4 linked regions of the Pelodiscus sinensis genome follow. The protein of the gene in region 4 purifies or fractionates together with the protein of the main gene of each other region. This does not show direct contact. Links are inferred from orthologs where the notes say so. Each region holds a gene or a part of one and is shown on either strand. Other genes may lie near its edges. The genes, in order: NUDCD1, COPZ1, COPE and COPG2.

Region 1 (7,889 bases), on a different chromosome or scaffold from region 4:
GGGGGGGGGAGGGAACGCAGGTAGTGCGCCCTCCCCCCTCCAGCAGACCAGGCTTTTGTTGCAGGACGCCTGGGGTAGAGCAGCTGGGGTGCTGCCGGGTTGGTCCTACGGGGACCTATCCTGCAGCGCCCCAGCTGTTCTGTCCCAGGAGTCCAGATTCAGCCGCTGTTGAAACTGATCAGCGGCTGATTCCAGGAATCCGGGGGCAGAGCAACTCTGCCTAGGGCTTCCTGTAGTCAGCCGCTGATCAGTTTCAGCAGCAGCTGAATCTGGAGCCAGTTCCGACTTACATACAAATTCAACTTAAGAACAAACCTATAGTCCCTATGTTGTACGTAACCCAGGGACTGCCTGTACAGTAAAACTCTGATGGTCTGGGATCTGTTGGTCCGGCACTCCTGATGGTCTGGCACCATCAGGAACCCGGAAGTGCTCCAGGCAGCCGGACCATTGGAGCTGCTATGCCCCCAGCTTCCCCGATTCAGCTGCTGCTAAAACTGACCAGCGGCTGACTCCAGGAAGCCCGAGGCAGAGCTGCTCTGCCCCAGGCTTCCTGGAATCAGCCCCGATCAGTTTCAGCGGCGGCTGACTTGGGTACACCTGGGACAGAGCAGCTGGGGTGCTGCCTGGTTGGTCTCGCAGCGCCACGGGTTGGCGCTACCAGCCGCTGTTGAAACGGACCAGCAGCTGACTCCAGGAAGCCATGGGCAGAGCAGCTCTGCCTCAGGCTTCCTGGAGTCAGCCGCTGATCAGTATCAGCAGCGGCTGACTTGGGGACACCTGGGGCAGAGAAGCTGGGGTGCTGCCGGGTTGGTCCAGTAGCGCCGAGGAGTGGCGCTGCGGGACCAACCCAGCAGCACCCCAGCTGCTCTGCCCCAGGCGTCCCCAATTCAGCTGCTGCTGAAACTGACCAGCAGCGGCTGAATCAGGGACGCCTGGGGCAGAGCCAGACTATTGGAAGGGGGGGCTATGAGGGGTTTGAGGTGGCATTCCCCCCACCCCAGAACCCTTATAGTCCCCCCTTCCGATAGTCCGGCAAAACTAATAATCCGGCACCCTCTGGGTCCTAAAGGTGCCGTATTATCGGAAGTTTACTGTATTCACTGCTGATGACTCAGTCAAACTGTATACAATAATCTTTGCTTCCTGAATAACTAGTGTTTTCTGCACTTTCATCTTCATTTCAGAAAACTGGTAAAAAGAGAAAAACTCACAGCTCTTAAAGTTGTGTGCAGTAGTATTGTAGCCATGTTAGTCTCAAGATATTTTAGTCTATGGGTGGGCAAGATACTATCTTTTGTTGGATCTACTTCTGTTGGTGAGAAAAATCTACTGAACTTAGGCTGTGTCTACACTTTTCAAAGTGCAGCCACACCAGCGTTTTGAACTAAAAGTGTGGCCACAGAAGGAGCATTCTCCTAAGGCACATCTAGAGTACATCCCTCTGTTGGCAGACCAGAAAAGCTCAAAGTAAGCTCAAAAGTCCCTGGAAAAATCATGGAGGGGATCCTCAAGGAATCCATTTTGAGGCACTTGGAAGAGGGGAAGGTGATCAAAAATGGTCAGTGTGGATTCATGAAGGGCAAGTTGTGCCTGACCAACCAGAATGGCTTCTATGATGAGATAACTGGCTCTGGGGAGATGGGGAAGTCAGTGGATGTGATATACCTTGACTTTAGCAAGGCTTTTGATACGCTCTCCCACAATATTCTTGCCAGCAAGTTAAGAGAATGTGGATTGGCTAAATGGACAGTAAGATGGATAGAAAGCTGGCTGGAAGGTTGGGCCCAGCGGGTAGTGATCAATGGCTCGATGTCAGGATGGCGGTCAGTTTCTAGTGGAGTGCCCTAAGGTTCGGTTCTGGGACCAGTTTTGTTCAACATCTTTATTAATAACCTGGATGAGGGGATGGATTGCACCCTAGGCAAGTTTGAGGATTACACTAAGCTAGGGGGAGAGGTAGATACACTTGAGGACAGAGATAGAGTCCAGAGTGACTTAGACAAATTGGAGGATTGGGCCACAAGAAATCTGATGAGGTTCAACAAGGACAAGTGTAGAGTCCTGCACTTGGGACGGAAGAATTCCAGCACTGTTACAAGCTGGGGATCAACTGGCTAAGTCGCAGTTCTGTAGAAAAGGACCTGGGGATTACAGAGGATGAGAAGCTGGACATGAATCAACAGTGTACCCTTATAGCCAAGAAGGCTAATGGCATAGTAGATTGCATTAAGAGGAGCATTGCCAGTCGATCCAGAGATGTGATTATTCCTCTTTACTTGGCTCTGGTGAGGTCACGTCTGGAGTATTGTATCACATCTGGAGTATCCAGTTCTGGGCCCCCAATTGCAGGAAGGATGTGGATGCACTGGAGGTTCCAGTGGAGGGCAACCAAAATGATTAGGTGGCTGGAGCATATGACCTATGAGGAGAGGTTGAGGGAGTTGGGTCTATTTAGTCTGCAGAAGAGAAGAGTGAGGGAGGATTTGATAGCATCCTTCAACTTCCTGAAGGGAGGTTCCAAAGAGGCTGGAGAAAGGATGTTCACAGTAGTGATGGATGGCAGAACAAGGAACAATGGTCTGAAGTTGCAGTGGGAGAGGTCCAAGTTGGATATTAGGAAAAACTATTTCACTAGGAGGGTGGCGAAGCACTGGAATAGGTTACCTAGGGAAATAGTGGAGTCTCCATTCTTTGGCTATGTGTACACTGGCGGGTTCTTGTGCAAGAACATCATCCACACTTCCACGTGCGTGCTGTGCTTTTGCGCAAGAGCTCCCATGGCAGTGTGGACGCTCTCTTGCGCAAGAAAGCTCTGATGGCCATTTTAGCCATAGGGATTTCTTGCGCAAGAAATCCCTGCCAAGCGTCCACACTGCCCTCTTGTGCAAGAGCTCCTGCGCAAGAGGGCTTACACCTGATAAAAAAGAGCATAACTCTTGTGCAAGGAGCCCTCTCTTACCATGCCATACTGTAAATTTCCTTGCTCAAGAGCGGGCGGGCAGTGTGGACGCTCTGCAGATTCTTGCGCAACAACGGCCGTACTTGCGCAAGAAGCCAAAGCCACGAGCGTAGACATAGCCCTAGAGTTTTTTAAGTCTCGGCTGGGTTGATGTAATTGGGATTGGTCCTGACTTGGGCAGGGGGCTGTACTTGATGGCCTTCTAAGGTCTCTTCCAGCTCTATGGTTCTATGATTCTATGAAAAGCTTGTCTCCATCACCAACAGAAGACGGCCTAGTACAAGTACAATCTCAGAGTTATGAACACCTCAGGAATAGAGCTATTTGTAATTTTGAACATTATATTTGTTCTTTCGAAAGTTTACAACTGAACATTGACTTAACACAGCTTTGAAACGTCACTATTCAGAAGACAAATGCTGCTTTTAGCCATCTTAATTTAAATCAAACAAGAACAGAAAAAGTACTCTTACATTTTCAGTTTTTAAAACTGCCTGTTTTAGTAGTTTAACACCAGGGGTGGGGAACCTCAGGGCTGGATGCAGCCCTCAGCGTGCCTAGATCCAGCCCCTGAGGATCATTCCCCCACCCCCGCCCAGCATTGGGGAACCCATACTGGTACTCCAGCCCCCACTGGTACTCCACAAAATCTACTAGGCTAGGCCCCCACCAGGCTCTGGTGTGTGAATGGAATGTGGGGAGTGTCTTCTCCTCAGTTGGGGGCCACAGTGAAGGTTCCCCCCCACACACTTCTCACTTGGGTATCCCCCCCAACAGAAAACTGATTTTTCTGTGGGTCATTGGCCCCGACCTAAAAAAGGTTCCCCACACCTGATTTAACACTGTACTGCATTTCCTTTTTTTTTTTTTTGGGGGGGGGGGCGGTAATCTGTTGCTGCCTGACACGTCAGTCCATAACTGTGGTTCTAATGTAAAAGATACTATCTCATCCACCTTGTCTCCCTACAGTTCTTAAATTCATGGCTGTAATTAGATTACGCCAGATATTTTGATGAAGCTATGTAGAAGTTTTTGCTGCCTGTGTTAATTTAGTAGTTTAATGTTGATAAAAGGATCAACACAACTGACTCGAGCCACTTCACATCTATCACCTAACCTGGAGATCTGGTACTTCAGCCCAGACTTGATTGAGGAACGGCTGCTCACTGCCCTGAACTACAGAGTGGTGCAAGTCCAGGCTCAGATAAGAGACTGGGGGGGGGCAAACAAATCCGGCCACGCTTGCGTCAGTCACACCGAGCGGCTGCCTCTCTCCTCCCCGTGTAATGGAGCCACAGCCCGGCAAAGCGGGGCTGATACGATAACGTCGCAGGCGCTGCATTTCAGGAAACGTTTTTAACCAGAGGCCCCCGCAACCCGTCGAGCCTCTGCCGGAGCAAGGGCGCAATTCCACCGCAGCCCGCCCGCCCGAATGGAACTCCTCAGCCAGCGAGCCCACCCCGGCCTGCTCTCAGCCCCCCCCCCCCACCGGGCAATAACCAGCCCCGCTCCGCCAGCCTAGTGACCACGCCCCCTTCCCCGGCCTGGGAGACCGGCCTGAGGAGCGCCCGGCCCGCCAGGGCAGCATGGGGCCACACCACGGGGGAGCTCGGGCCTGGGCCCAGAGCCGGGAATGGGGGCGGGGATTTCAAGCCGAGTCCCGCGGCTCCCCGCCCGCCCCTGACCCCTCCTGGAGAGAGCAACTCCGGACCCCCGGACTCACCCCCGCGGCGGCGCGCTCAGCTCTGTAGGAGAAGAAAGCGACGCAGTCTCCCAGGGAGAATCCAGCACGGCCAAGCCCCTGCCCGCCTCTTCGCGCAGGGAACCCTGGGAAATGGAGTGCACGACGCGCTTTCCCTCGCTCGGTTTAAAAACTACAACGCCCAGCATGCTTCACGATCGGGGCGCTAGGCGGCTCGCTCTCCGTGCGGCATACAACTCCCAACATGCTCGGCGACTGGCCCGAGCAGCCCCTCGCGGCCAGAGCCCTAAAACTACCATTCCCATGGTGCTCCGCGGACTGCACGCTAGTTACCTTCTCCAGTGGCTTCTCCCTGCTTCCTCACAGCCTCCTTCCAAACTTTTCGCCGTTAGGCGGCAACTCCCGGCGCGAGCGACGGCGATGGAAGCGGCGGCCAACTGCTCCCTGCGGGTGAACCGGCAGCTCTTGGATCCCAAGTTCGAGGGCTACAAGCTGTCCCTGGAGCCGCTGGCCTGCTACCAACTGGGGCTGGACTCGGGTGAGGGGCGCTGCGGAAACGTGGCGGCGGGGCAGCAGCGTTTGGGGGGCGCGCGGGAAGGGTTTGTTCGGGCTCCTGGGGGGGGGGGGGGAGGCTGCTTGTGGCCGGGGAGCCCCGGGGCGGCAGGTTTGTGGGTGCTGCCAGGGCCAGGTCGCTAGTGTTTGCTTGGCTGAAGCCTCTCCGCCGCGGGTTGCTTTGCTATGTCCCGGCTGCTGGCCTCCGGGCAGAGGCGGCTGCCCATCCCAGTGGGGTAAAATTATTCAAGCCCCAGGTGCCTGGCAGGCTGTGGTTGTGCTCCCCTACAGGGCTGGGTAAATATTCTCCGGATCATTGGGAAACAACATTCCCTCCCCTGCCGTGCAAGGCCAAGCCTGACTGGTAACTGTTCCAGGTTTTGGTGCATTCTGGTCTACACTAGGGATAAGTTCAGATTAAGATTTGCAACTCGCGCTAGGTCAATTGCTTCGCAGGAGTTGACTTATCTTAATACGAGCTTTGGCTCTGTCCACATAGTGGGAGGTCACCGAGAGAAATGCTTCTCTCGACTTGCCTTACTCCTCACAGGAGCACCCTTAGCGTTCAAGTTAGCCAGTCTTTACTAGGTTTGCTAAATCGAATGCCAGAAGATCACTCTCCTGAGCCTTAATTAATGGGTAAGTATAGACAAGGCCCTGGAGCCATGTGTGCAGTATGGGCTAAGAATGTGTAAATTTAACCATGTAAACAGTTAACCAGTAACTCTGGATTTATCAGTTAATATTCACACGTGCATGCAGACTCCTGTGGTAGCTGGCTCCGCAGGAGTGGGGCTGCAGGTGGGAGCTGGTGTGCCTTGGGAGGCGTCTTAAGCTGACTCCCAGCACACACCACCTGCCAGGGAGCTGACTGTCACCCCACATGTAACCGTGTAACCATTTTTTTAGCAGTTACATAGTTAATTAAATGCATTTTAACATTTCTAATACAGACAGAGGTTGCCTTTGTCAGTCTGGGCTGGGATCCTTGACTGATATATGTGAGCAGCAGACTCTAGTGTAGGCCTGCGCTTTCTCCAGAGTCCCTGTAAGTCTTCAAGAAAAACTTTTGAGTGGTTTTGAGGGTTTTATATTTTAGCATTGGATCTTTAAAATATTTAATTAACGCATAGTTGTCGTTTTAACACGCCTCACTCTCCTCATACACCTTCATCAGTAATATAGTGATGTCCTTGTAGGTGAGCCTTCAATTCCATCTTTTATGTCGACCTCTTTTTAATAGGTGTCCTGATGAATTTCAAGCCTGCAGATTTTTCTGGTTTTTGGAAAGGCAGAGCAGCCCATTTTCTTCCTTCCCATTCTGAGACTTTTCCCAAACTCTCGTGGGTAGAAGTTTTACTCTAGTGTCTGTCGTTGTAGCCTAAGGCCAGGTCTACTCTAAACCCGGCAACTCAACTTAAGGTACGCAACTCTAGCTACATAGAATATGCTCCCATTAGCTTCTCTTGCGCCTTGCAAAAGGAGGAGTGCCAGTGGGGCACTTTAGTTAAGACTTGCTAAATCGAACTCCGGAAGATGGATCGTGGCAGTGACAATCTTCCTTTTAGTGTAGACAAATCCTGAAAAATGTATGAACAGCCATAGGTGAAATTTACATGTTCTTTATTAGTTTCAAAGCTGCTCAGGGAACAGAAGCTCTGAAACTGGCTTTGGGGCCTTTTCACTCTTGCTTCTTGGGAAAATTACAAGAAACAGCAGAGATACGGGAATTGCCTGTATGCAGACCATAGTATTGCTAACCATAAGTGTTTATAACTCATAAGCTACAGCTCAAAGTAACAAGGTTAGCTTAAAAATTCATGAGATGTAAAACAATGGGGGTTCTTTTGATTAGCCTTTTAGTTTTTTGTGCCTTTAGAGTGCACATTTTAAAGCTTTGTCTTTGCAGCTGTTAGAGATATCCTTTCTCCTTTTTCAAAATGAAAACTGAGATTTTCATGTAAAGTTGATATAAGATGGAGCTTTAAGAAAAACATTGGATGTTATGGGAGTTGGGATCAAATCATAAAAATTAGCATCCCTGCACTCTCCAAGAGGTGACTACACCCAGTTTTGATGACACAAACTTCTTCTGTGGAGGTGGAAGTTTTTATCTTCCCTTCCCTTTATTGTCAACCAGTCATGTAGTGTATGCTACAATAGGTTTTTTGTTGAGTTTATTGACCTCTAGCATGTTTTCCTCAGTGACCAATTAGCCACTGTGGCCAGTACTTTGAACTCTGCTGCTCTGCAGCCAGATAAACAGATGCATCCCTCCCAACTGCAAATCCTGGGAATTAAAAAAAAATCTATTTCCTGGTGTCTGGCTCGTTGTATAGTGGTCCTCATGGCATCTTCTCAGTGAGCCAGTGGTGGGTAGTGATAGAAATGTAGCCGTGTTAGTCTGGGGTAGTTGAAGCAAAATGCAGGACAATGTAGCACTTTAAAGACTAACAAGATGGTTTATTAGATGATGAGCTTTCGTGGGCCAGACCCACTTCCTCAGATCAAATAGTGGAAGAAAGTAGTCACAACCATATATACCAAAGGATACAATTAAAAAAAATGAACAAATATGAAAAGGACAAATCACATTGCAGAACAGGAGGGGGATGCGGGGGGGGGGGGGAAGGAAGGAAGGTAAGTGTCTGTGAATTGATGATATTAGAGGTA
Region 2 (7,341 bases), on a different chromosome or scaffold from region 4:
CGCTGGTCCCCCGGCCACGCCACTCCCCCGGCCACGTATCTGCTCCAGCCCGCTGGTCCCCCGGCCACGCCACTCCCCCGGCCACGTATCCGCTCCAGCCCGCTGGTCCCCCGGCCACGTATCCGCTCCAGCCCACTGCTCCCCCGGCCACGTATCCGCTCCAGCCACGCTGCTCCCCCGGCCACGTATCCGCTCCAGCCCACTGCTCCCCCGGTCACGTATCCGCTCCAGCCACGCTGCTCCCCCGGCCACGTATCCGCTCCAGCCACGCTGCTCCCCCGGCCACGTATCCGCTCCAGCCCACTGCTCCCCCGGCCACGTATCCGCTCCAGCCCACTGCTCCCCCGGCCACGTATCCGCTCCAGCCCACTGCTCCCCCGGCCACGTATCCGCTCCAGCCACGCTGCTCCCCCGGCCACGTATCCGCTCCAGCCACGCTGCTCCCCGGGCCACACACCTGCTCCCTGCCTGCTGCTTTGTCCTGCTCCCCTCAGCCACACCCCCCCTCCAGCCACGCTGCTCTTCACACCAGACCACACAGGCCTTTCTTTTCTCCCCCGCCCCTCTCCTGGGATCCCCCCCTTCCCTCACCTCCTCGTACACGAGCCACTGGCCCCACTCCTCCCAGTACACCTGCCACTCCACGGGGAAGTAGGGGTTGCGGCTGGGGTCGCTGGTGTTGGAGAGGCGCCGGACGCGGTCGTAGAGCTGGTGGGGCGTCAGCTCCATGGAGTTGAGGTCGAGGGTCCAGGACGAGCCTGGCCTGGGGGGGAAGCAGGAGAGCTGTCACTGAGGGACACCCCCCCCCCCCACGCTGGCAGCGAGCATCTGGGCGACGCACCCACCTCTCCCGCCTGCCGGGCCACGTCCCCCCAGCCACCTACTTGTCCAGCAGCTGCACCTCGCGGTGGCTGGGGCTGCAGTAGAGCTTCTCCAGGAGCTGCTGGGCGGCGGGGCCCACGCTGAGCCACACCCCGTCCGCCTGGCGCCGCACCTGCCAGTGGAAGGGCTTGGGGGTGTGGTGGCGCAGGCAGCGGCCCCCCGCCGGGCACTGCCCCAGCAGGAAGTCATCGCAGATCAGGACGCCGTCTCGCTGGTGGACGTGGACCTCCTCCGGGCCGGCCAACTCCAGCACCTGCCCGCCCCGGCCCAGCCCCTGGGGCTCCGGCGCGAGCAGCAGGGGGTGCTGGGCCAAGCCGAGACGGCGGCGCTTGGGCTTCTCCGCCATCAGGGTCAGGCCCTAAGGGGGGGAGAATCAGGCCAGAGCTGGGGCCAGACTGGGTCTGGGGTTCAGCTTTCTGGGGGGCCACAGGCTGGCAGGGCGCTGGAAGGATCTGAAGGGGGATGCTACCCCCAAGGTCAGGGAACTGGTCCGGGGGGTGGGTCAGTGTTGGCCCCGACTCTGGAGCAGCTCACGCCTGATCATGGGAGGACTCCCCTAGGATTCCAGCACCGGGGGTAGGGGAATCACCCCCAATTTGCAGATGGGGAAATTGAGGCTCCGGGCCAAGGCAGGGGCTCGGCCAGCAGATCCGTGGTGGGGCTGGCAGAGGAACCCAGGTGTCCTGCGAGCCAGTCCCCTGGCCTGGCCTCCTGCCCCTCTTTCCCCCGTGCTCGGCTTATTATAGAGGGAAGCTGCCCCGATTCTCCAATCTGCAGTCCCCCCCAAAGCCGAGTCCCCCAGAGCCCCAGCGACTGGGACCACAGAGGTGAGGCCGGGGGCACAGAGCCAGCACTGCCCGGCTGCCAGGCTCCTGGGGCATTGACTCGGGGGGGGGCATGGGTCCCGGAGGCAGACAGACCGTCTCCTCCCCCACCCCTCCTCCCCATCACTCACCTCCTCTGCTGCCGGACAGGGCTCTTGCTTTTGCTTTTGCTTTGCTGAGTCACGGGTCCGCGGTGGAGAAGCCCAATCAGCCTGCCACCTGCGCAGGGCCCAGGGGCTGGGGTTTCCCCCGGCTCCCGGCCCTCCCCCCCCCCTCGCAGGGTTGCAGTGAGACCAGTCGGGGCCCGGCCCAACGCCCCACAACAGGGCAGGGCAGGCTGGGAATGGACGCCTTGCCCCCAGGAGCAGCCAGTGAGCCGGTGGTAAAGCAAGACAGAGAACCCCAGCTCCCCTCTAACTCCCTACACCCCAGCCCCTCCCCAGAGCCAGCAAGAGAAGCCAGGAGACCTGCCCCCCCCCCCCCACGTCCCGCCTCCCCATGGGCACCGCCAGGAAATACAAACACGACCTTGGCACAGCGTCTGCCTGGCCCAGCTCCACTTTCTCTTTCAGTTCCGCTCCCTGCACCACGCTGCCCGTGGCACACGGAGCCCAAGGGGGGGGCAGGACCAGCTGCACAGAGTGGCACCTCCTTGGGGGGATGTTGTGGGGAGTGGCCCTGCGGGGGGGGGGGTTGCTTTTGCTCTTCCCAGGGTGTAACCGGAGTGTGGCTTGGTCTCTCACTGCCCCCACCTGCTGCCGTCCAACCAGGCATAGGCCGGAGCCAGGCCTGAGACAGGATTCAGCGGATTTCCAGGAGGGGTGAGAGGTCTCTCAGTGCACAGGGCATCTCCAGTTCATCCCTGGCCTCTGCTCTATGCACCCCCCGCCCATGTCACTGCCGCCCCAGACCAAACCCAGTCAGCCAGCTGAGCCACGCCTCGGCTGCACCAGCTAGCCCAGAGCTGGAGCAGTCCCAGGATGGCGTCCCACCGCACGGCTGCAGCCAGGGAAGAATCCTAGGAGGGGAAGGGACCTTGAGACGTCAAGTCCAGTCCCCCGCCCTCACGGCAGGACCCAGCACCGTCTAGATCATCCCTGGCAGGCGTCTGTCCACTCTGCTCTTAGATATCTCCAGGGAGGGAGATTCCACGACCTCCCCAGGCAACTGATTCCAGCGTTTCACCCCCCGGACAGGTGGGAAGATTTTCCTCATGTCCGACCTCAACCTCCCTGGCTGCAGAGCCTTATTTGTTAAGGAACAAAATAAAGTGCCGGTGACCATAATAATAAAAGAAATCCGTCTCCGGCACAGCGAGAAGATCCGCCCGGCTGCAGAGTCTAGCTTCCCCTCTGGGCCTTATTGCTCCTTCTGTGCACGGCTGCTCCGCCCAGCCCCCTTTCAGAGGGGTTCACCCCTGTAGCCAGGGAGCCAGACTGGATTTCCTCTGAGTCCCGAGGGGCAGCCTGGCCTGTCATACGCTTTCTGCCCCTCTCTGCCGGGTGCTCCACACAGCTCGGCTTCCTCTAGCAGAGCCCACCTCTTGTTACCTCCTTCTTTCCGAACCTCTTTCCAACTGCCTCCTCCCCAGCTGAGCCCCCGTCCCTCGGCTTCAGGAGCTGCCCTCTCGCTAGGGGCGGGGTCCCTCTCCCCAGGCAGCGTTGTCTGCTGCTGCATCACAGCTGCAGGGCCCAGCACTCCCCCTCTTGCTCCAAAGTGCAGCAGAAGCTGGAGCTGGGGCAAGTGTAACCCCCGGGAGGGGGGGGGGGATTTCACACTTTTCCCCTCGTGACCCAGTTTGGAAAAAATTGCGGATGCGCGTGACCCAACGTAGTGTGGCTGGGGCCGAGGTGGGGAGCTTTGTGGGGCAGGAGGGGACTCCACTCCCACGGGCCGGGAACCCGCTGCCGGCTGCGTCTGGGGCGCAGCCCGGTGTGAGGGGCCAGGCGGAGCAGGACGCTGCCTCAGCCCCCGGTGCACTGCAGACAGGCAGCAGGTTCCCGGCCGGCGGGAGTGCGGGGCGAGTGCTCGGGGCAGGGAGCCCCGTGTGCTCCCCCCACCCCAGGAGCCAGGCCAGGCCGGGGGCTGCCTTAGCCCCCCGCTCTCCGGACCCCTGCAGCCCGGGCGACGCTCCTCAGCCCAAGGCCCTGGGCCCTGCTGGGGGGTGTCGGGGCGCGGGTCAGGGGCCCCCCCCCATGCCTGGGCCATGTGCCCCCGTGGGGCTAGCGGGGAAACTGAGGCACGGGGTGGGGGGGGTGACATATGGAGGTCACATGGGTGCACACCCCCAGGGGGAGCCATTGGCCTGCGGGGGGGAGGGGAATGACTGGCCCCGCCCACCAGCATGACTCCTCCCCCTGCCCTCAGGGTCATGACCCCCATGAAGGCGGGTCGGGGCTGCTTCCGGTCATGTGACGTGCCGGCGAGGGGCCTGACGTCACCGCTTCGCTGGTCGCCGTGGGAACTAGCCCGCCCTCCCGGCGCTGCGGCGGGGGCGGAGCGAGTGACCGACAGGGGCGCCTTCCAATCGCCGAACACGCTCTCCGAGGGCGGTGGGGCGGGGCCCAGCGGGCCCCGCCCACTTATTGGAAGCCACTTTCTGGTTGGCTGGCCGGGATAGGGTCGCCAGCCAATGAGCAGTTAGAATGCGGAAGGGGGCGGGGCCCCGAGCTGCGATTGGCGGGCGAGTAACCAATGGCGCGCGGCCCCTGTCGCTCCGGCTCCACGTAGGCATCGCGGAGGGCAAGATGGAGGCGCTGATCCTGGTAGGAGCGGGCCGGGGGAGCGGGCGCCGCCGGGGGGGGCTGAAGGGGGAGGGGCACAGCCCCGGGGGGGGAGATTGGGGAGGGGTCGCTGCTGATGGGGGAGGGGCACAGCCCCGAGGGGGGGAGATGGGGGGAGGGGCACAGCCCTGGGGGGGGGAGATGGGGGGAGGGGTCGCTGCTGAAGGGGGAGGGGCACAGCCCCGGGGGGGGGGGAGATGGGGGGAGGGGTCGCTGCTGATGGGGGAGGGGCACAGCCCCGGGGGGGAGAGATGGGGGGAGGGGTCGCTGCTGATGGGGGAGGGGCACAGCCCCGGGGGGGGGGAGATGGGGGGAGGGGTCGCTGCTGATGGGGGAGGGGCACAGCCCCGGGGGGGGGGAGATGGGGGGAGGGGTCGCTGCTGATGGGGGAGGGGCACAGCCCCGGGGGGGGGGGAGATGGGGGGAGGGGTCGCTGCTGATGGGGGAGGGGCACAGCCCCGGGGGGGGGGGAGATGGAGGGAGGGGCAGGGCTGATGGGGGAGGGGCAGCTCTGTTAAACCCTTCAGGGCAGCTCTGGTCTGGGGAGGGATCCGTGGGGCTGGAGCCAGGGTTGGGGGATGAATCTAGGGGAGTGAAAACCTCTGTGGGCTTTGTGTGTCTGGGCCAGCAGCTGTTCGAGGGCCGGGAAGGTGAACCTGCCATGTCTTGGCGCAGAAACATCCCCGGCCTCAAGCTTTTATTACCTTGTACCCCAGAGCCCAGCCGTCCGGAGGGTTGTTCTGAAGGGTGAAGTCGTTCTGTGGGTACGATTCCTTCCCAGCCAAGTAGCCGGCTGGGTGATCCGGGAAGCCCTGCTACTTGCTTGCCCGTATTTTTTGTTGGCGAGTCAGGGCTCCTGGCTTCTGTTCCCAGCTCTGCCACTGGCCAGCTGCTGGACGTGACGTCCCTGCCTCAGTTTCCGCTGCTGTCGCCATCTTTCTTTGTAAAGCGGTCGGAGGCCTACTGAGGCTGCCGACACCTGGTCTAAAGTGCCCTTCTGTCTTGCTGCCCGCAGCTCCCTGCCTCTCTCCTTTGTCTGCAGACAGATTCCCTAGTCGCCTTTGCTGCTAATAATACTAAAGTCCGAGCCACAGTGCTTGGCTGCGTGCATCTCTCCTCTGGCCCCGTGCCCTAGTTCGGGTCCTGGCAGCGAGAACCGGCTGTGGCACAGCTACTGTTTGCGTGCTGGACGGCCGAGCGCCCGCTTGCATTGGCTGAAGTCTCATTTATTGACACGTTTGAATGACACCGTCAGCCCCGTGTGTGCCCCAACGCGGGGCGTCTTGTTGGCTTGACACGGCCCTCGGCCCAAACCAAAAGCCTCCAGAGAGACCAGGCCGCAGCGTCCCGCCCGCCGGGCCCTCTGCCCCAGAAGCGCGTGTTACAGCTTTAAAACGTGGGTTGCTTCGCTGTGCTCCGCAGTGCAGCCTGGCTCCGGAGCCGTGTAAAATCCTCTGGCTTTCTCTGCCGGGCTTGCGTCTCCTTTCCGCGCAGAGGGGCTGGGAGGGGGAGAGGCAGCGCTTTTCCCTCTAGCTTGCCAGGCTACTGAGAGTTACAAGCCAGGTGCCAAAGAAGCTTGTGGCTTTTCAAGCTGCTTCCTTTGGATTGTGTAGCCCTGCCCTCCGGGTCGGTCCCCTTCGCCGCCTCTAGAGAGGCTGGGTCCAGTTGAGGGTGAGCCGTCTGGGGGGCAGGGCTTGGAGGGGAACCTAGATCTGCAGGGCTGCCCATCCAGCTGAGCCCCGCCTTGGAGGGGAATCTCCGGACCGGGACGGGATGCAGTTACGGGCCGGCGTGGGCTTGAATAAAGCAAAGTGCGTCTGCAAATCCCATCCGGCCACGTTGATTCTGTGCGCTGGTTAGTGGAGGAAGGGCAGTTTAACCCCTCACGCGCTGGGGGGGATTAAGCGAATTCGGAGTAAGGCCCCCTTAGCCCGGAGCGAGAGCGTCCACACGCTGCGTTAATGGGATTGACTCCCCATGGTGACAAGCCCAGAAGAGTCACTGGTCACTTGCGGTGCTGTCCGGGGGGGCAGCGGGTGCCTGGTGCCTCTGAGCATTGGGCCTCAGGTTGTGCGCCCCCCAGTCAGACCCTTAGGGTGCCCCACAAAAGGAGGACCCTCCCCCCATGGCTTGGTTGCTCCTGGCAGGTTCAGCCCGTGGTTTGGATTCGGGGCTGGGGCTGAGCCCGGCTTTCTGACGGGGCCCTTCCTGAGGGCAGGGGCCGCAGGATCTGGCCCATTCCCTGCCGCCTCGGCCGTGCTTGGCTCCGGGGGGAGCCCCCTCCCGAGAAGCCAGGCTCCTGTCCTCTCCCCCTGCCCCTGGAGACACAAGGAGGAGCCACTCTGGGGAGGGGCCCTTGGGGTCGCAGAGACGGGGCCCTGCCATGCTGTGCCCCAGGGAAGCCAGTCGGGGGCCCGATCCTGGACTGTGCTGGGCACTGGCGGCCTCGATGGAGGGCAGAGGGCATCCCGGGCGATTGGCTGCATGTGGGGCAGGCCCTGGCAGCCTCCCCCAGGGGCCGGTTCTCCTTGGCAGAGTCTCAGCTGCAGGGGAGGTTACCGGGCCCCGCTGGGAAGTGCCTTGCCCGCCCCTGACCCACAGGCGGGTGGGTTCCTGCCCCGTGGCCTGGCCGGGGGCCTGGGGGGCCCGTGCCCCGATGCGGAGCCGCAGCGTTTGAGGTGAAGTTCTGTGTTACACTCCGGCCGTGGCTACGAGGGGTCAGTGCATCACAGAACTTTGTCTCGAGAGCTTCTTAGCGTCTGTCTCCTGGGCCCCCCACCCCCTCGCGTGCTCTGCAGCCCTCGCCGGGGGGGTCCTGGCCCACGGGGGCTCTGCCGCAGGCTGGCTGGGGC
Region 3 (7,499 bases), on a different chromosome or scaffold from region 4:
GGGAGACACCGATCCGCTGGAGCGCCGCCCGGAACGCTGGCTGCTGGGGGAAGCCCAAGACTCTGTCGCACCCTGGGGAGACTTACTCGGCCTGAGACTCCCAGAAGAAGGGCTTGTTCATGGCGAGGCTCTTCAGCTCGTTCAGCGTGTCCGTCAGCGTGGCACTGAAGAGCAGCGTCTGCCTGGTGGCTGGAACTGCCCCCAGAATCACCTCCAGATCCTTGGTGAAGTCGGTACAGCCCTGCTCCAGCAGTCGATCGGCTTCGTCCAGAACCTTCAACGGGCAGCACAAGCCAGGCTGAGGAGCGGCAACCCCTAGCAGAGGGCCTCCTGGCCTCCCAACCCAGCGCTAAAGCCCACTCTGTGGCCAGGGCGAAATCACCGTCTCTCGGCCTCAGTTTCTAGAGAGCCCTCCCCGCCTTGCCAGCTGGGTGTAAGAGCAATCCATCTCACGCTGTTATGTGTTAGCGCCACATGGGGCCATGACCGAGGTATGGCAGAGGACTGGGCAAGGGAGACTGTTTCACAGCGATGAGGCCTAACACAAGTTTCCCCGGACAGATTTTGAGCCCCCAAATGCTTCACCATAGCTAGTGGCCGCCCCAAACTCAGCGAGGTGACTACACAGAGGGATTGACGTGCGACTGACGCGGCAGGTGACAGGCAAGACAAGAGAGGGGCCTTTGCATGATGGCAGGAGAGTGACTGGGCGCAGAGAGGCTGTGTCCACCAACGCAGGCGCCCTCCGTCAGTCAGCACCCTGATACCATGGTGAGGGGCTCCTCACACGCGCCATCAACTCATTCTCTTGCAGGGCCCCTTCTGGGACAAGCCGGCCCATTTCCACACCCCAGCAGCTGGAAACGTGGCTGTTCGGCTAATGGAAAACTCAAGCACGTCGGCCCAGCCCAAGGTCCCCCCGCCGCAGCCGAAGAGCTGCCTTACCAGGAACTTGATCTTTCTGAGGCTGAAGGTGTTGGAGCTGCGGAGGTGATCGGCCAGCCTTCCAGGCGTGGCGATGACGACGTGAGGCTTTCGGGAGAGCTCCAGAGCCTGGGCCACCATGTCTGGAACAACACCACCAAGGGGGCTGAGCTATGTGCTGCCTGGGCCCGGGCGAGCAGCCAGCCTCATCCTACACCACGTTCAGTGCCCTTAAGTCGCACCCACCACAAGGGGAACAGGGCACGCCCCATCTCACAGGGCTGGACACTAAAACTGGCACCACATAGAGGAAGAAACCCAGGACACCACTGTGAGAAACAGGTTTCTCTTAAACGCATCTGCTATTTCGGCCTTTTCAGCAGCCCTCTCCAGCTACGTAATGTTGCGAGGGGACAACACACAAAGCAGGATTTCCAAAGGCGCGTTTGAAAATCCCAGCCTGAGCAAACTGGAGTGACGCTCGATAGCGTCGGTCTGACACCTCCTAGGCTACATCTATATTGTGGCAGGTTTTCGCAAGAGGAAATGCAAATCTCGCACTCATTTGCCTTTCCTCTTCTGTGTAGACGTAGCCCTAGGCAGAGCACAACAACTTCCTGGCAAAGAATGTAGCGTCCAAGGGAGAAAGTCTCACCCACCAGGCGTGACAAGGACACTGCCTCATTCCTAGCGAGAGACCGGGCCACAGTGGCACCCAAATGCGGCTTAACTGGGCAGTTCACTAAGAGGCACTTGAGGGCTTCTGTTTGTTTCTTAATGAACAACAAATCACACAGCTGGCAGCCATGTCTGCTCAGAGTGTCCCCTCAATGATAAAGGACACCAGCAACAAACCCTTAGTTTAGCCCTCCCCTTGTCGTTGCTGGGAAGGGACCGCCATACATTAAATCCAGAGAAATCTGTTAACGGGTGAGAATCGCTATATTTTGGTCCATTTCAGGTGAGTATAAGGCTTTCCTGAAACTAGACAATTCCACGTTTGGGAAAAGCGGTTTCCCTAAAACCGCCTTCTCCCCCAGTCGCGGCACAGATTTCAGAACTGAAACGGCCCAGCAGCCCCCCTTAAAGCGAATGAGAGACTTAACGAACGGCGCCTCGTCTTGGCACAGAGGCCGGTTCTTAACCAGCGCGCACATACCCATCCCGCCAACGATGATGCAGTCCTTCAAGCCAAGCGGCTTCCCCAGAACCCGGAACTGTTCAGCAATCTGATAGGCCAACTCCCTGGTGGAGAAAAAGAAGGGAAAAATTGGACGTGGAAAGAGCAGCATCCGCCCGTGTGTGAGCAGTACCTGACAACCAGCTTCCTAGTGAGTACTGGGCCTGCCAAGGTCCCCAGAGCTCAGTGAAAAGGTGGTGGTCCCAGATACCAGCAGCTGTTAAGATCCCCCAATCTAGGGCAAAAAGGACTAAGGTAAAAAGGAAACTAGTTGGAGACCACAGTTGGCCTGAATTAACAAATGCAGCCCAAGGAGGAGGGTCGTGCACCTCCGAGGCCAAGAAGGAAGCTCCTGCCACCCCAGCGAGGGCTGAGAAGTTCTCTGATCCTGAGGGGAATTCTTTTGGGGGAGGCTGAATTAAACGAAGAGAAGTGGATCCCAGCAAAGGGGACCATTGCGGAGGCAGCTTGTTAAACCCTTCTCCTGCGATCCAGAAATTATTGAGGGTTACGCTGGCAGGACTTGGTCCTAGCAGGATGGGCACTCTGGAGCAGCACTGCTCCAAACTCCGGTGCTCAGGATGCAGACAACCAGGAATGCAGGGAAATGACAGCAGCAGCAACCAGGAAAGTTGTTTGCCCAACATCTGCTGCCCTTTGGCAGGTTAAAAAAAATCTGATCGAATGCCGTGGTTATATTGCAGTCACATGGCAGGAGATCAGCGACTAGAGAATGAAAAGACTGGGCTTGTTTACCACAGAAAGCCATAACAGGGTAAGATTAAAGAATATAGAACAATTCAGACACAGCACCCATCTCCTGTCTTGGTCTGAACATTGAAACTAGAGAACGCTTAAATATTCGGCATAAACACTTTAGGGGAGGGAGAATATACCAATCCACCTCCCTTGTACCTTTCTCTGAATCTAGTACTGGCTGCTGTCAGGGCCAAGGCACTAGACATGGGCTATTGGTATGAGTCAATATAGCTATTCCTAAAAGGTCCACACACTCAAAATCCCATTACCAGGCATGGCTGGAGCAGTGACAGATGAAGCTGTCTTCTCCTCTGATGACGGAGTGGCATGGCGAGAATCATGTCTCTCAGGAGACAAAGGGGTTTGTGGAAAAAAACCCAGAGACACGATTCATGCTCACCGTGTGGGCGTCAGCACCAGGCAGAATATACCATAGGGATCCTCAGAGAGTTTCTGCAGAATCGGCAGGACGAATGCAGCCGTCTTGCCGCTGCCAGTCTTGGCGCAGCCCATGCAGTCGCGACCTGCGGATCAGCGGTTCCTGGTTAATGTGCATGGGGAGCAGAACCGGGAGAGCCCCTTCAACCCTCCACCACTTGACCCCGATAGCCAGGGAACATTTTCACTCCAAGACACAGGTGATAACACAGAGTGGGGGGGGAGAGGGGAAAAGAACCAGGGGCTCCACCATGGCAGATGCCGGGGCGGGGGGGAGGGAAGGGGGAGTGCCCAGTGGGGCAGAGACAGAATGGGGCACCCCAACAAGGGAATAATGGGGGGTGGGCCCTCATAGGTTGTAGGTGGATGCCGGGGGGGGCCCAGAGTGGAGAGAGGGGGCGGTCTGGAGGGAGAAGCCCAGAAAGGGGGGATGCCGGGAGGAAGGGGCGGAGGGGGAAGGGAGCCAGAAGCAGGAGGGAGGGAGCAGGTCCGGAGGGGGGAGCCCCATAAGGGGAGATGCGGGGGGGCGGAGGGGGAAGGCCTGGAGGGGAGGTCCGGAGGGGGGAAGGAAGGGGAATGCGGGGGGGGGGGGGCAGAAACGAGAGGGAGGGGGCAGGTCCGGAGGGGGATGCCGGGGGGGGGGGCAGGTCCCGAGAAGAATGCAGGGGGGGGGGCGGAAGCGGGAGCCGGTCCGGGCGATGCCGGGGGGGGGGGCAGGTCCCGAGGGGGAAGGGAGGGGGATGCGGGGGGGGGGGCCGGAATCGGGGGGGGGCCGGGCCGGAGGGGGATGCCGGGGGGGGGGGAGGTCACGAGGGGGGGGTTCCGGGGGGGCTCCCCTCACCCTGCAGGATGGGCGGGACGCAGGCGGCCTGCACCGCGGTGGGGCGGCCCATGCCCAGCTGCTGCGCCTGCTCCGCCAGCCAGGCGGCCAGCCCGAGCGCGCGGAAGCCGGACATGGCACCGGGGAGAGGCCGCGCCGGCTCCTCGCACGCGACGGGCGCCCACTTCCGGCGCTGCCCATGCGCGTCACCAGCCCCGCCCGCTCCCATTGGCTCCCCGCTCGCAGCCCCCCCCCCCCCCGGGAAAACTACCACTCCCGGCGCGCCCCGCTCCGCGCCCACTTCCGGTGCCGGTGTTTTACCGCGCAGCCCCCTGGCCCCGTCCTTAGCGTGCGCCGGAAACTACGAGCCCCAGCGTCCTGTGCGCGGCCCGGCTTCCGGAGACGTGTCCGGGTCTGGGGGAAATGGCGGCGGCGGGCCCGGCCGGGCAGGGGGGGGACGCGGACGAGCTCTTCGACGTCAAGAACAATTTCTACATCGGCGCCTACCAGGCCGCCATCAACGAGGCGCAGCGGGTCAAGGTGCGGGGGGGGGGCGGGGTTCCCGGGCTCCTCTGCCCCCCCCCCGACGGGCAGTCTCCCCCCTCGCCCTGCCCCGCCCTGTGGGGGGGGAATCTACCCCCTCCCCCCTCTAGTCCCCTCCCCTCCTCTGCCCCTCCCCCTCTACACCTCCCCTAACCCCCTCCCCCCTTGCCTACAGCGCCTCTAGCCCCGCCCTGTGGGGGGGATCTACCCCTTCCCCTCCTCTAGCCCCCTCCCCCCTCTGCCCCTCCCCCCTCTTTACACCTCCTTTAGCCCCGCCCCGTGACGGGGTCTTCCTCTCCCTCATCCCCTCTAGCCCCGCCCTGTGGGGGTGTGCCCATCCCCCCTCTTTACACCTCCTCTAGCCCCGCCCTGTGGGGGTGTGCCCATCCCCCTCACACCTAGCCCCTCCCTGTGGGGGGGGGTGTTCGCACCCCCTCTTGTCCCACCCAAATCAAATTCCAGTGCCCCCTGGCACGGGGGACTCTTCCCTCTTCTTTTTACATGGATTACATCTTCGTGTGCCCCCCCCCCAACACTGACCCCAGTGGGTCTTTTCCCCCACTGAGGTATGGGTGTCACTTCCTGGCTCAGTACTGTGTCATTATTTCAGGGGTCGAATATTGCTGGATAATGAATCTTCTTCTCCCCCTTGTTCCTTTAGCTGGCCAGTCCAGAAAGGGAGGTGGAACGGGATGTCTTCTTATACCGAGCCTACATTGCCCAGGTGAGCTCATGGGCCCTGTGTGGAGAACAGCCCGGTGTGAGAACAGAGCTGAGATTAGGGATTTCTGAGTTCAAATCTAGCACCTCCATCTCTTGAGGTCTGACATTGATTTCTCCTACCACCTTGGGGCCCATCCCCTCCACCCTGATTAGCACTGTGATGAGCACAGTATAAACTTGCTAGACCTTTTTGGCCTGAATTTCCCCATCTTTGCAACTGGAGAAATCCAGGAGTGAAAGTAACTTCAGTTTCTTACTGTTGCGGTTATATTGCAACCCCATTTCTCTCCACTCCCACACACTTAACTTGATGGATCCTTTTGCATGCTTTTGATATAGAGAACTTGTTTACACTGCCACTTACAGCGCTGAAACTTTCCTTGCTCAGAGGTGTGAAAAAACACACTCACACACCCCCAGATGATGCAAGTGTAAGTTCTGTAAAGTGGCCATGTAAACAGTGCTCTGGTGCTGGTAGCTATTCCCTTCGTGGAGGTGGTTTTATCACAGCACTGGTAGAACCCTCTCCCGGTGCAGGGGCTGTAACTACACAGCCACATTACAGCGCTGCACAGCAGTACTTTAACGTCCGCCGTGTAGACATGCCCTTAAAACTACTACCGATGCTCTAAAATAAAATGTTTTATAATTCTCTGATTGCCCTTACAGCTGATCTTGCTCTTCTCGTTGTGCCCCCATGATGTGAGAGGAATGTGCTGCACGTTGGCCCTTTAGGGTTTATTGAATGTCTTATTTTCTTAGGCGGCATTTTTTCCCCACTTACTCTAAGTTATGTGCCTGCCGTGACAGACTTGACCAATAAGAAGCAAACGGAACTCAAAAGCTAATGTTCAGAACCACGAGAGTGCCTTTCACCTGCCAAGGAAAGGCCGAAGGGGAGCAATTTTGTTTTGAGAGAATGTAAAATCTATGAATTCAAGTGATATATCTGATTTTTTTTTTATTGCTACAGTTTAACCTGTACTAAATGCTTCAGCCGCTTTCATACCAGTATGCCCTACCAGCTTATTTTTACCTCTGAGGTAACTCTTCTCTTCATGGTTAATCTGCCCGTTCAGGTTGGTTGGCCTTGAGGGAGGAGCGTGAATAGTTTTTGTTGACCTTTTTATTGGCTGGTTTCAGGCATTTGATGTATTTCTGAAAATTTTCAGTTTGGGGCTGAAACCCCTCTGCCCTGCCCCTATAGTCCATGCTTAGTAAAAACCCCTGAGTAATTTTGGAATGTGTGGTCATGAACATATTTCTCTCTTCTCAAGGCTTTGTAGTTCAAATAATTTTTAAAAGGCTGGATTTTAAACATTCCACGGACTTCTCCTATTGGGCTTCCTGGGTTAGAAATTGAATGATCTGTTCTGAAGCTCTTACCAGCTCACTCAATAGTTCATGTGAATCACAGTATGAAAATGATTACTCAATTTACATAAAAACAACGAGGAGTCCTGTAGCACCGTAAAGACTAACAGATTTATTTGGGCATAATCTTTTGTACCCATGAAAGATTATGCCCAAATAAATCTGTTAGTTTTCGGGTGCCACATGGCTCCCTGGTATTTTTGCAGATAACAGACAAATACAGATATTCCTCTGAGGATACGTCTAGATTACAGGCTTTTGTTGACAGAAGTTTTGTCAACAGATACTGTCGACAAAGCGGCTTGCTTTGTCGACAGAACTGGATGTAGTCTAGACACGCTTTGTTGACATGACAGGGTAGACGCAAAGGACAGTGTAGATGCAGTAACGCCTTCTGTCAACAGAACTCTGTCGACAAAAAGCGTTATTCCTCATAGAATGAGGTTTACCGCCGTCGACAAAACTGCTGAGTTCTGTCGACGTTATGTTGACAGAACTCAGCGGCAGTGTAGACGCAGGTATAGTTTTGTCAACAAAAGTCCACTTTTGTCGACAAAACCCTGTAGTCTAGACACACCCTGAGAATTTAAGTAAATTGCAAATAAAATATAGCATACATTGTGAAAAGTGGCTTTTAAAAGTTTTGTTTAACACTCTCACATTGTGTTAGTACCACAAACAGTGGGGATTCATTAATAATGATCTTGCATTGATTGGGGGTGTCTGTCTCATTTCCCC
Region 4 (7,837 bases):
AATGAGCTCAGACTAGCTACGGAAATAAAGGGAAACAAGACGACTTTTTATAAATACATTAGAAGCAAGAGGAAGACCAAGGACAGGGGAGCCCCATTGGTCAGTGAGGAGGGAGAAGCAGTAACGGGAAATTTGGAAATGGCAGAGATGCTTAATGACTTCTTTGTTTCGGTCTTCACCGAGAAGTTTGAAGGAACGCCCAACATAGTGAATGCTAGTGGGAAGGGGGGAGGTTTAGAAGATAAAATAAAAAAAGAACAAGTGAAAAATCACCTAGAAAAGTTAAATGCCTGCAAGTCACCAGGGCCTGATGAAATGCATCCTAGAATACACAAGGAGCTGAAAGAGGAGGTATCTGAGCCTCTAGCTATCATCTTTGGAAAATCATGGGAGACAGGAGAGATTCCAGACTACTGGAAAAGGTCAAATATAGTGCCCATTTATAAAAAGGGAAATAAGAACAACCCAGCAAACTACAGACCAGTTAGTTTAACTTCTGTGCTAGAGAAGATAATGGAGCAAGTAAGTAAGGAAATCATCTGTAAACACTTGGGAGGTGGCAAGGTGATAGGGAACAGCCAGCATGGATTTGTAAAGAATAAATCATGTCAAACCAATCTGATAGCTTTCTTTGATAGGATAACGAGTCTTGTGGATAAGGGAGAAGCGGTGGATATGGTATACCTAGACTTTAGTAAGGCGTTTGATATGGTCTTGCATGATGTTTTTATCAATGATTTAGGCAAATACAACTTAGATGGGGCTACTATAAGGTGAGTGCATAACTGGCTGGATAACCGTACTCAGAGAGTAGTTATTAATGGTTCACAATCCTGTTGGAAAGGTATAACAAGTGGGGTTCCACAGGGCTAAGTTTTGGGACCGGCTCTGTTCAATATCTTCATCAACGATTTCGATATTGGCATAGAAAGTATGCTTATTAAGTTTGCAGATGATACCAAGCTGGGAGGGGTTGCAACTAATCTGGAGGATAGGGTCATAATTCAAAATGACCTGGACAAATTGGAGAAATGGTCTGAGGTAAACAGGATGAAGTTTAATAAAGACAAATGTAAAGTTCTCCACTTAGGAAGGAACAATCAGTTTCACACATACAGAATGGGAAGCGACTGTCTAGGAAGCAGTACAGCAGAAAGGGATCTAGGGATTATAGTGGACCACAAGCTGAATATGAGTCAGCAGTGTGATGCTGTTGCAAAAAAAGCAAACATGGTTCTGGGATGTATTAACAGATGTGTTGTGAGGAAGACACTAGAAGTCATTCTTCTGCTCTACTCTGCACTGGTTAGGCTTCAGATGGAGTATTGTGTCCAGTTCTGGACACCGCATTTCAAGAAAGACGTGGAGAAATTGGAGAGGGTCCAGAGAAGAGCAACAAGAATTTAAAGGTCTAGAGAACATGACCTATGAAGAAAGGCTGTAAGAATTGGGTTTGTTTAGTTTACAAAAGAGAAGATTGAGGGGGGACATGATAGCCGTTTTCAGGTATCTAAAAGGGTGTCATAAGGAGGAGGGAGAAAACTTGTTCATCTTGGCCTCTGAGGATAGGACAAGAAGCAATGGGCTTAAACTGCAGCAAGGGAGGTTTAGGTTGGACATTAGGAAAAAGTTCCTAACTGTCAGGGTGGTCAAACACTGGAATAAATTGCCCAGGGAGGTTGTGGAATCCCCATCTCTGGAGATATTTGAGAGCAGGTTAGATAAATGTCTATCAGGGATGGTCTAGACAGTATTTGGTCCAGCCATGATGGCAGGGGACTGGACTCGATGACCTTTCGAGGTCCCTTCCATTCCTAGTATTCTATGATTCTATGATTCTCTGTGGTAGATGAGGAACTGAGGGGAGAGGGTCGGGCAGCGCTCGACTGTCAAACTGCCGGCCGTGTGAGACACCTGCTGCACAAGCACGGCTCGACTAGATACTGCTTAGAAGACGCTCCGATCTGCTGGGACAAGATCGGTATACCTCCTTTTTTGAGGCATAAGGAACTTGCGCAAAAAAGGGTTTTTGCGCAAAAATAAAACGTCCACACTGCTTATTTTTGCGCAAAAGCTCGTAGCGCAAAAATGGATTGGCAGAAAATATGCAAATGAGATTATGACTTATGCTAATCAGACCCTCATTAACATAGTTTCTGCCGGAAGAACTCACAGTGAAGACAAAGCATTAGTGTGGTTCACCATCTCATGCAGTGGCACCTAGACCACAGCAACAGATAAGCATAAGAGACCTCTACAGCCGTGGTCACCAACCGGTCTCTCGCGAGCTACTGGTCGATCTCGAGGCCTCAACCAGTCGCTCACGAGGCGTCCTGTAAGCCCCGCCCCCATTTCCCTCCCACCCCCCAGAAGCCCCACTACTTACCTCCAGAGAAGACGGAGGTAGTGTCGGCTTCTGGAGCGCTGGGGTTTGGCCCCGGGGCTTCCCGGCGCGGGGAGGGGGTTGGCGCCGGGACAAGCACCCGCGGGGCTTCCCTGCGTGGAGGGGGGAGTTTGCCCCGGGGCAGGCGTGCGCACGCGGGGCTTCCCTGCGCGGGTGGGGGGGTCGGCCCTCTGGGCAGGTGCGCGCGAGGCTTTCCTGCACGGGGGGGGTTTGGCCCTGGGGCAGGCACGCACATGTGGGGCTTCCTTGCGCGGGTGGGGGGATTGGCGTCCTGGGCAGGTGCACGCGCAGGGCTTCTCTGGGGGGGGGGGGGGTTGGCCCCGGGGCAGGCACACGCTGGTTTCCGGAGGGGGGGAATGCTGGGAGGAGGGAGATGCAGGAGACTCTCTGCCTCCACTGGCATCCCACTCCCCTGTCCCCACTCCCCTGTCCTCAACTACAGAATGCTGTCCCCATTCCTGTCCCCACTCCCCGAATTCTGTCCCCAGCTACAGAACTGTCCCCACTCCCTGAATTCTGTCCCCATTCGCGTCCCCACTCCCCGAATTCTGTCCCCATTCGCGTCCCCACTCCCCGAATTCTGTCCCCATTCGCGTCTCCACTCCCCGAATTCTGTCCCCATTCGCGTCCCCACTCCCCGAATTCTGTCCCCATTCGCGTCCCCACTCCCTGAATTCTGTCCCCATTCGCGTCTCCACTCCCCGAATTCTGTCCCCATTCGCGTCTCCACTCCCCGAACTCTGTCCCCACTCCCGTCCCCACTCCCCGAACTCTGTCCCCACTGGCACTCTGTCCCCTGCTGCAGAATCCTGTCCTCTGCCCTCCCAGCACCCTGTTCCCTCTCCCCTGCTCCCAGCCACAGTACTCCGTCCCCACAAAATGTATAATTATAAATGCTTCATTTTAGATTTAAAAAGCATGAATAAAAAACAGACCATTTATTTCAAAACTATAAACACGTGATTTTAATAGTATGTGATTTTAATTGTATGTATCGCATAATTTAAAAATAAACTGTTTATCAGAGTGTGTAAGTAAGGGCTGGGGATAGCAAGTGATGGACAGGAGGAGAATAGAGAGGGCGGGGCTTCAAAGAAGGGGAGGGGCTTCAAGGAAGGGGCGGAGCGGTAGATCTTCGCCTGTTCTGAGATTTAAAAAGTGATCTTGGGTGTAAAAAGGTTGGAGACCACTGCTCTACAGTATGGCTTGAGAGGTAGCTAGATTTTTAGCTCAAAAGGTAGAGGCTCCTCTACTAAACTCCAGAGGCCCAGGTTCAAATCCACCTGGTTGTGGTTACAAGATGTTGCAAAGGCAGTGACATTTTTCACAACTCTGACCAACAGAGCTAGATTGACCACAGTTTTATGAGTAGAACAGACCAGTCGTGCTGACCCTTTCCCACGTGAGCAGTCCAGTGAAGGGGCGGGATAGGGAGGGGGCGGTGCTGGGAAGACCACATGGAGGGCATCTCTGTCAAGTGACCAGCACGTGTACAGCTGTGTGCAAAGGAGCAAGTGATGGTTTCAGAGGCTCTACCCTTTGCGACGCCTCCCACCCAGGACTACGGAATATTCATTATCCCCAAGACTCAGCATTCATTCTGCAGCCATTCATCTTAGAAACAATGGACACTATTTTATAATTATTGTGACGTTTCCTAAACTTATCATGATAGAAATGTAGCCGTGTTAGTCTGGTGTAGCTGAAACAAAATACAGGACCATGTAGCACTTTAAAGATTAAGATGGTTTATTAGGTGATGAGCTTTCGTGGGCCAGACCCACTTCCTCAGATCAAATAGTGGAAGAAAATTGTCACAACCATATATACCAAAGGATACAATTAAAAAAAAATGAACACATATGAAAAGGACAAATCAAATTTCAGAACAGAAGGGGAATGCGGGGGCAGGTAAATGTCTGTGAGCTAATGATATTAGAGGTGATAAATGGGGAAGCTACCTTTGTAATGGGTAAGATAATTAGATTCTTTATTGTTTTGATTATTTGATTATTTATTGTAAGATATTTATGAGATAATTAGATTAACAATAAATAATCAAATAATCAAAACAATAAACAATCTAATTATCTTAGATAATGATTATCTTGGGGATAATGAATATTCCGTAGTCCTGTCTTTTGTTTCACCTAAACTTCTGGTTACACTCCTGCTCCTAACGGTGCAGAGCCTATTCAAACGCACGTGGCCAGCCCCTTGCGGCGCGGAAGCGAATCGGGAGAGGAGACGCTGCTCCCAGCCAGGGGCGCTGTCCCTTTAAATGGGAGCCGCTCCCACCCGGAGAGCCAAGGGGGCGTGTCCCGGATGTGGAAGGCCGCGGCTAGGCTGGAAGGGGGCGTGGAACACGGCGTCAAGCCGGGGCAGGCCGAGGGGGGGGCGTGGCTTCCTGGTGAATGGCGGGCCGGCGGGCCAATCGTAGGGTGCGCTGCCGGGTTTGGGGCGGGCCTTCCGGCGGGCGCTCTTTCCCGGCTGCGGCGGCTCTGAGGGAAGCGAGCGGCCCCGAGATGATTAAGAAGTTCGACAAGAAGGACGAGGAGACCGGTACGGGGGGGAGGGGCGCGGCCCGGGCGGGGTCTCCGCCCCTTCCCGCTCCGGGCAGGCCCGCCAGGCAGAGCCCGGCCCGCCTGCCGCCCCCGCTGGGAGGGGCGAGGGGGCCGGACCAGTCGGTTCTGTGGGGGGGAGGGGCGAGGGGGCCGGACCAGTCGGTTCTGTGGGGGGGAGGGGCGAGGGGGCCGGACCAGTCGGTTCTGGGAGGGGGGGGCGAAGGGGCCGGACCAGTCGGTTCTGTGGGGGGGGGGCGAGGGGGCCGGACCAGTCGGTTCTGGGAGGGGGGGGCGAGGGGGCCGGACCAGTCGGTTCTGTGGGGGGGGGCGAGGGGGCCGGACCAGTCGGTTCTGGGAGGGAGGGGCGAGGGGGCCGGACCAGTCGGTTCTGGGAGGGGGGGGCGAGGGGGCCGGACCAGTCGGTTCTGGGAGGGGGGGGCGAAGGGGCCGGACCAGTCGGTTCTGTGGGGGGGGGGGCGAAGGGGCCGGACCAGTGGGTTCTGTGAGGGGGGGGGCGAAGGGGCCGGACCAGTGGGTTCTGTGAGGGGGGGGGCGAGGGGGCCGGACCAGTCGGTTCTGTGAGGGGGGGGGCGAGGGGGCCGGACCAGTGGGTTCTGTGAGGGGGGGGGGGCGAAGGGGCCGGACCAGTCGGTTCTGTGGGGGGGGGGGGGCGAAGGGGCCGGACCAGTCGGTTCTGTGGGGGAGGGGCGAAGGGGCCGGACCAGTCGGTTCTGTGAGGGGGGAGGGGCGAGGGGGCCGGACCAGTCGGTTCTGTGAGGGGGGGGGCGAAGGGGCCGGACCAGTCGGTTCTGGGAGGGGGAGGGGCGAAGGGGCCGGACCAGTCGGTTCTGGGAGGGGGAGGGGCGAAGGGGCCGGACCAGTCGGTTCTGGGAGGGGGAGGGGCGAAGGGGCCGGACCAGTCGGTTCTGGGAGGGGGGGGGCGAAGGGGCCGGACCAGTCGGTTCTGGGAGGGGGGGGGCGAAGGGGCCGGACCAGTCGGTTCTGGGAGGGGGGGGGCGAAGGGGCCGGACCAGTCGGTTCTGTGAGGGGGGGGGGCGAAGGGGCCGGACCAGTCGGTTCTGTGAGGGGGGGGGCCAAGGGGCCGGACCAGTCGGTTCGGGGGGGGGGGCTGGACTACACGTAAGGGCGTGGGGGGGGTGTTTCTACCCAGCCCCCCCCCGCTCTGCACTGTTGTGGGGGGCACAGCCCTGACTGCTCCTGGGGGGCTTGGCTGCGGGGTGACCCTGCCCCTCTGGCTGTGGGCGGGAGCAGTGGGAGCTGGTTCAGTCTGTTTCTGGGCTGCCCGGTGGAGGCAGCTGGGCTTCAGGCCTGGCAGCAGGAGGGAGGCTTCATCCGTGGCCCTGTTCTGCGCCCTTCCTCTGGTGACTGTTGGGGGTGGGAGGCTGGGTAATGTGCCTGCCGTTTTCCATCCAATGTGTGGAATAATTTTACCTGCGCCCGTGCACCATCAGTGGAAACACAGACCTAGCCATGGGCCGCTCTGCCAGCCAGCGGGGAGGCACTGGACTCTCCTGAGCTGCCGCACAAGCCGCTTACAGGGAACACCGGTGCGGGGCTCGATGGACCAATGGTCAGATCTAGCGTGGCCTATGCACGCGCCCACCCCAGCGTGTTGGGCTGGGGGAACAGCACAGTTCAGTTTCTTTCATAATGAATTTAAAAGCACATTCAGTGTTCCAGATAAAGCTATTGTCACATTTTTGGTGTGGTGTCACTTCTGTGGGGCAAGTAGGCAGCTGTGTTGGTCCCGGGATATTATGGAGACAAGAAGGACATGCTCTTTTATTGGAACCACTTCTGTTGGTGAGAGAGACAAGTTTTTGAGCCACATGGAGCTTTTCATCAGGTAAGGTATTCTGAGGCCACATCTTTACTACAGAGAAGATCAACACTGTTGCAATTGATCTTCTGGAGTTTGATTTAATGGGTCTGGTAAAGACCTGCTAAATCAAACTCAGAGGGTCCCCCTGTCAACAGTATTCCTGCTCCTTGTGAGGAATAAGGGAAGCCAATGGGAGCATAGAGTACATCAACTCCATCTACATAATTAATGTAGCTGGAATTGTGTATCTTAATTCAACCTTCCTCATTTAGTGTTGATCTGGCCTCAGTGTGGCATCTGTTTCATCTTGTTTTTGAGCCACAAAAGCTCTTATCTCACCAACTGAAGTGGGTCTAATAAAATTTAATTAAAGTATTATGTTCTCCGCTCATTAGCATGATGGTTTGCTACGCCAATCCTTGAAGGTGTCAACTTCTTTATGGCCTAGTAGACATGTAGATAACTATATGCTAGTGTTCGGGGGCAAAAAAATCTTCTCATGAATGGGAAGCTTTTATGAGTGGCTGCAGGAGTTAAGCAAGGAGTCTTTTCAGAATTTACATTTTATATTTAGCAAATTCTTTGAGACCTTGTAATTCTGAAAATAATCTTCCAACAGGGAACTGTCACCTCTTAATTCTGCAGACACAGCTCCCTTGCTGCTGTTGTTTCTTGGCAAAGTTCAGAGGGACAAAGGAGTAGAACTAATAAGACTAACCAATTTTACTTCTGAGGGATAGCTGTCTTAGTTTGTAACTTTAAAACACTTAAATGGCAGGTGGTCCTGTAGCACCTTAGAGACTAACAAAATATATATAATATCATGAGCTTTCGTGGGCAAAACCCACATCCTCAGCCCTTATGCAGAAGTGAAACTGTCAAAAGTCTTGTCAATTACCTGCTGCTATTGACACCAGGGATATGTGTAGGCTGCAGTAAGACACCTACAGCTGGCCCCTGCCAGTTGAGTCTGGCTTACTGGGCTCTGGCCAAGGGGCTGTGTAGACATATCCTTCAAACAGTTGG

What was found.
Region 1: the proteins of COPG2 (region 4) and NUDCD1 purify together in Homo sapiens (co-immunoprecipitation; 3 studies listed by BioGRID and IntAct, with this or other methods). This does not show direct contact. The link is inferred for Pelodiscus sinensis from reciprocal best matches to the Homo sapiens genes COPG2 and NUDCD1.
Region 2: the proteins of COPG2 (region 4) and COPZ1 fractionate together in Homo sapiens (co-fractionation; 5 studies listed by BioGRID and IntAct, with this or other methods). This does not show direct contact. The link is inferred for Pelodiscus sinensis from reciprocal best matches to the Homo sapiens genes COPG2 and COPZ1.
Region 3: the proteins of COPG2 (region 4) and COPE purify together in Homo sapiens (affinity purification with mass spectrometry; 5 studies listed by BioGRID and IntAct, with this or other methods). This does not show direct contact. The link is inferred for Pelodiscus sinensis from reciprocal best matches to the Homo sapiens genes COPG2 and COPE.

The regions. Positions count from the first base shown.
Region 1 is NC_134712.1:29,337,174-29,345,062, forward strand, and holds the start of NUDCD1 (nudC domain-containing protein 1), read left to right. Parts: upstream 1-4,878; 5' UTR 4,879-4,967; coding exon 4,968-5,202; intron 5,203-7,889.
Region 2 is NC_134729.1:1,253,857-1,261,197, forward strand, and holds the start of COPZ1 (coatomer subunit zeta-1), read left to right. Parts: upstream 1-4,329; 5' UTR 4,330-4,351; coding exon 4,352-4,471; intron 4,472-7,341. Other genes in the region: protein mono-ADP-ribosyltransferase TIPARP-like, read right to left, coding at 592-763, 885-1,240, 2,235-2,480. UniProt on the Homo sapiens protein: The coatomer is a cytosolic protein complex that binds to dilysine motifs and reversibly associates with Golgi non-clathrin-coated vesicles, which further mediate biosynthetic protein transport from the ER, via the Golgi up to the trans Golgi network.
Region 3 is NC_134729.1:19,360,057-19,367,555, forward strand, and holds the start of COPE (coatomer subunit epsilon), read left to right. Parts: upstream 1-4,495; 5' UTR 4,496-4,544; coding exon 4,545-4,661; intron 4,662-5,325; coding exon 5,326-5,388; intron 5,389-7,499. Other genes in the region: putative ATP-dependent RNA helicase DDX49, read right to left, coding at 87-274, 946-1,067, 2,084-2,169, 3,264-3,387, 4,143-4,257. UniProt on the Homo sapiens protein: The coatomer is a cytosolic protein complex that binds to dilysine motifs and reversibly associates with Golgi non-clathrin-coated vesicles, which further mediate biosynthetic protein transport from the ER, via the Golgi up to the trans Golgi network.
Region 4 is NC_134711.1:3,627,605-3,635,441, forward strand, and holds the start of COPG2 (coatomer subunit gamma-2), read left to right. Parts: upstream 1-4,829; 5' UTR 4,830-4,929; coding exon 4,930-4,966; intron 4,967-7,837. UniProt on the Homo sapiens protein: The coatomer is a cytosolic protein complex that binds to dilysine motifs and reversibly associates with Golgi non-clathrin-coated vesicles, which further mediate biosynthetic protein transport from the ER, via the Golgi up to the trans Golgi network.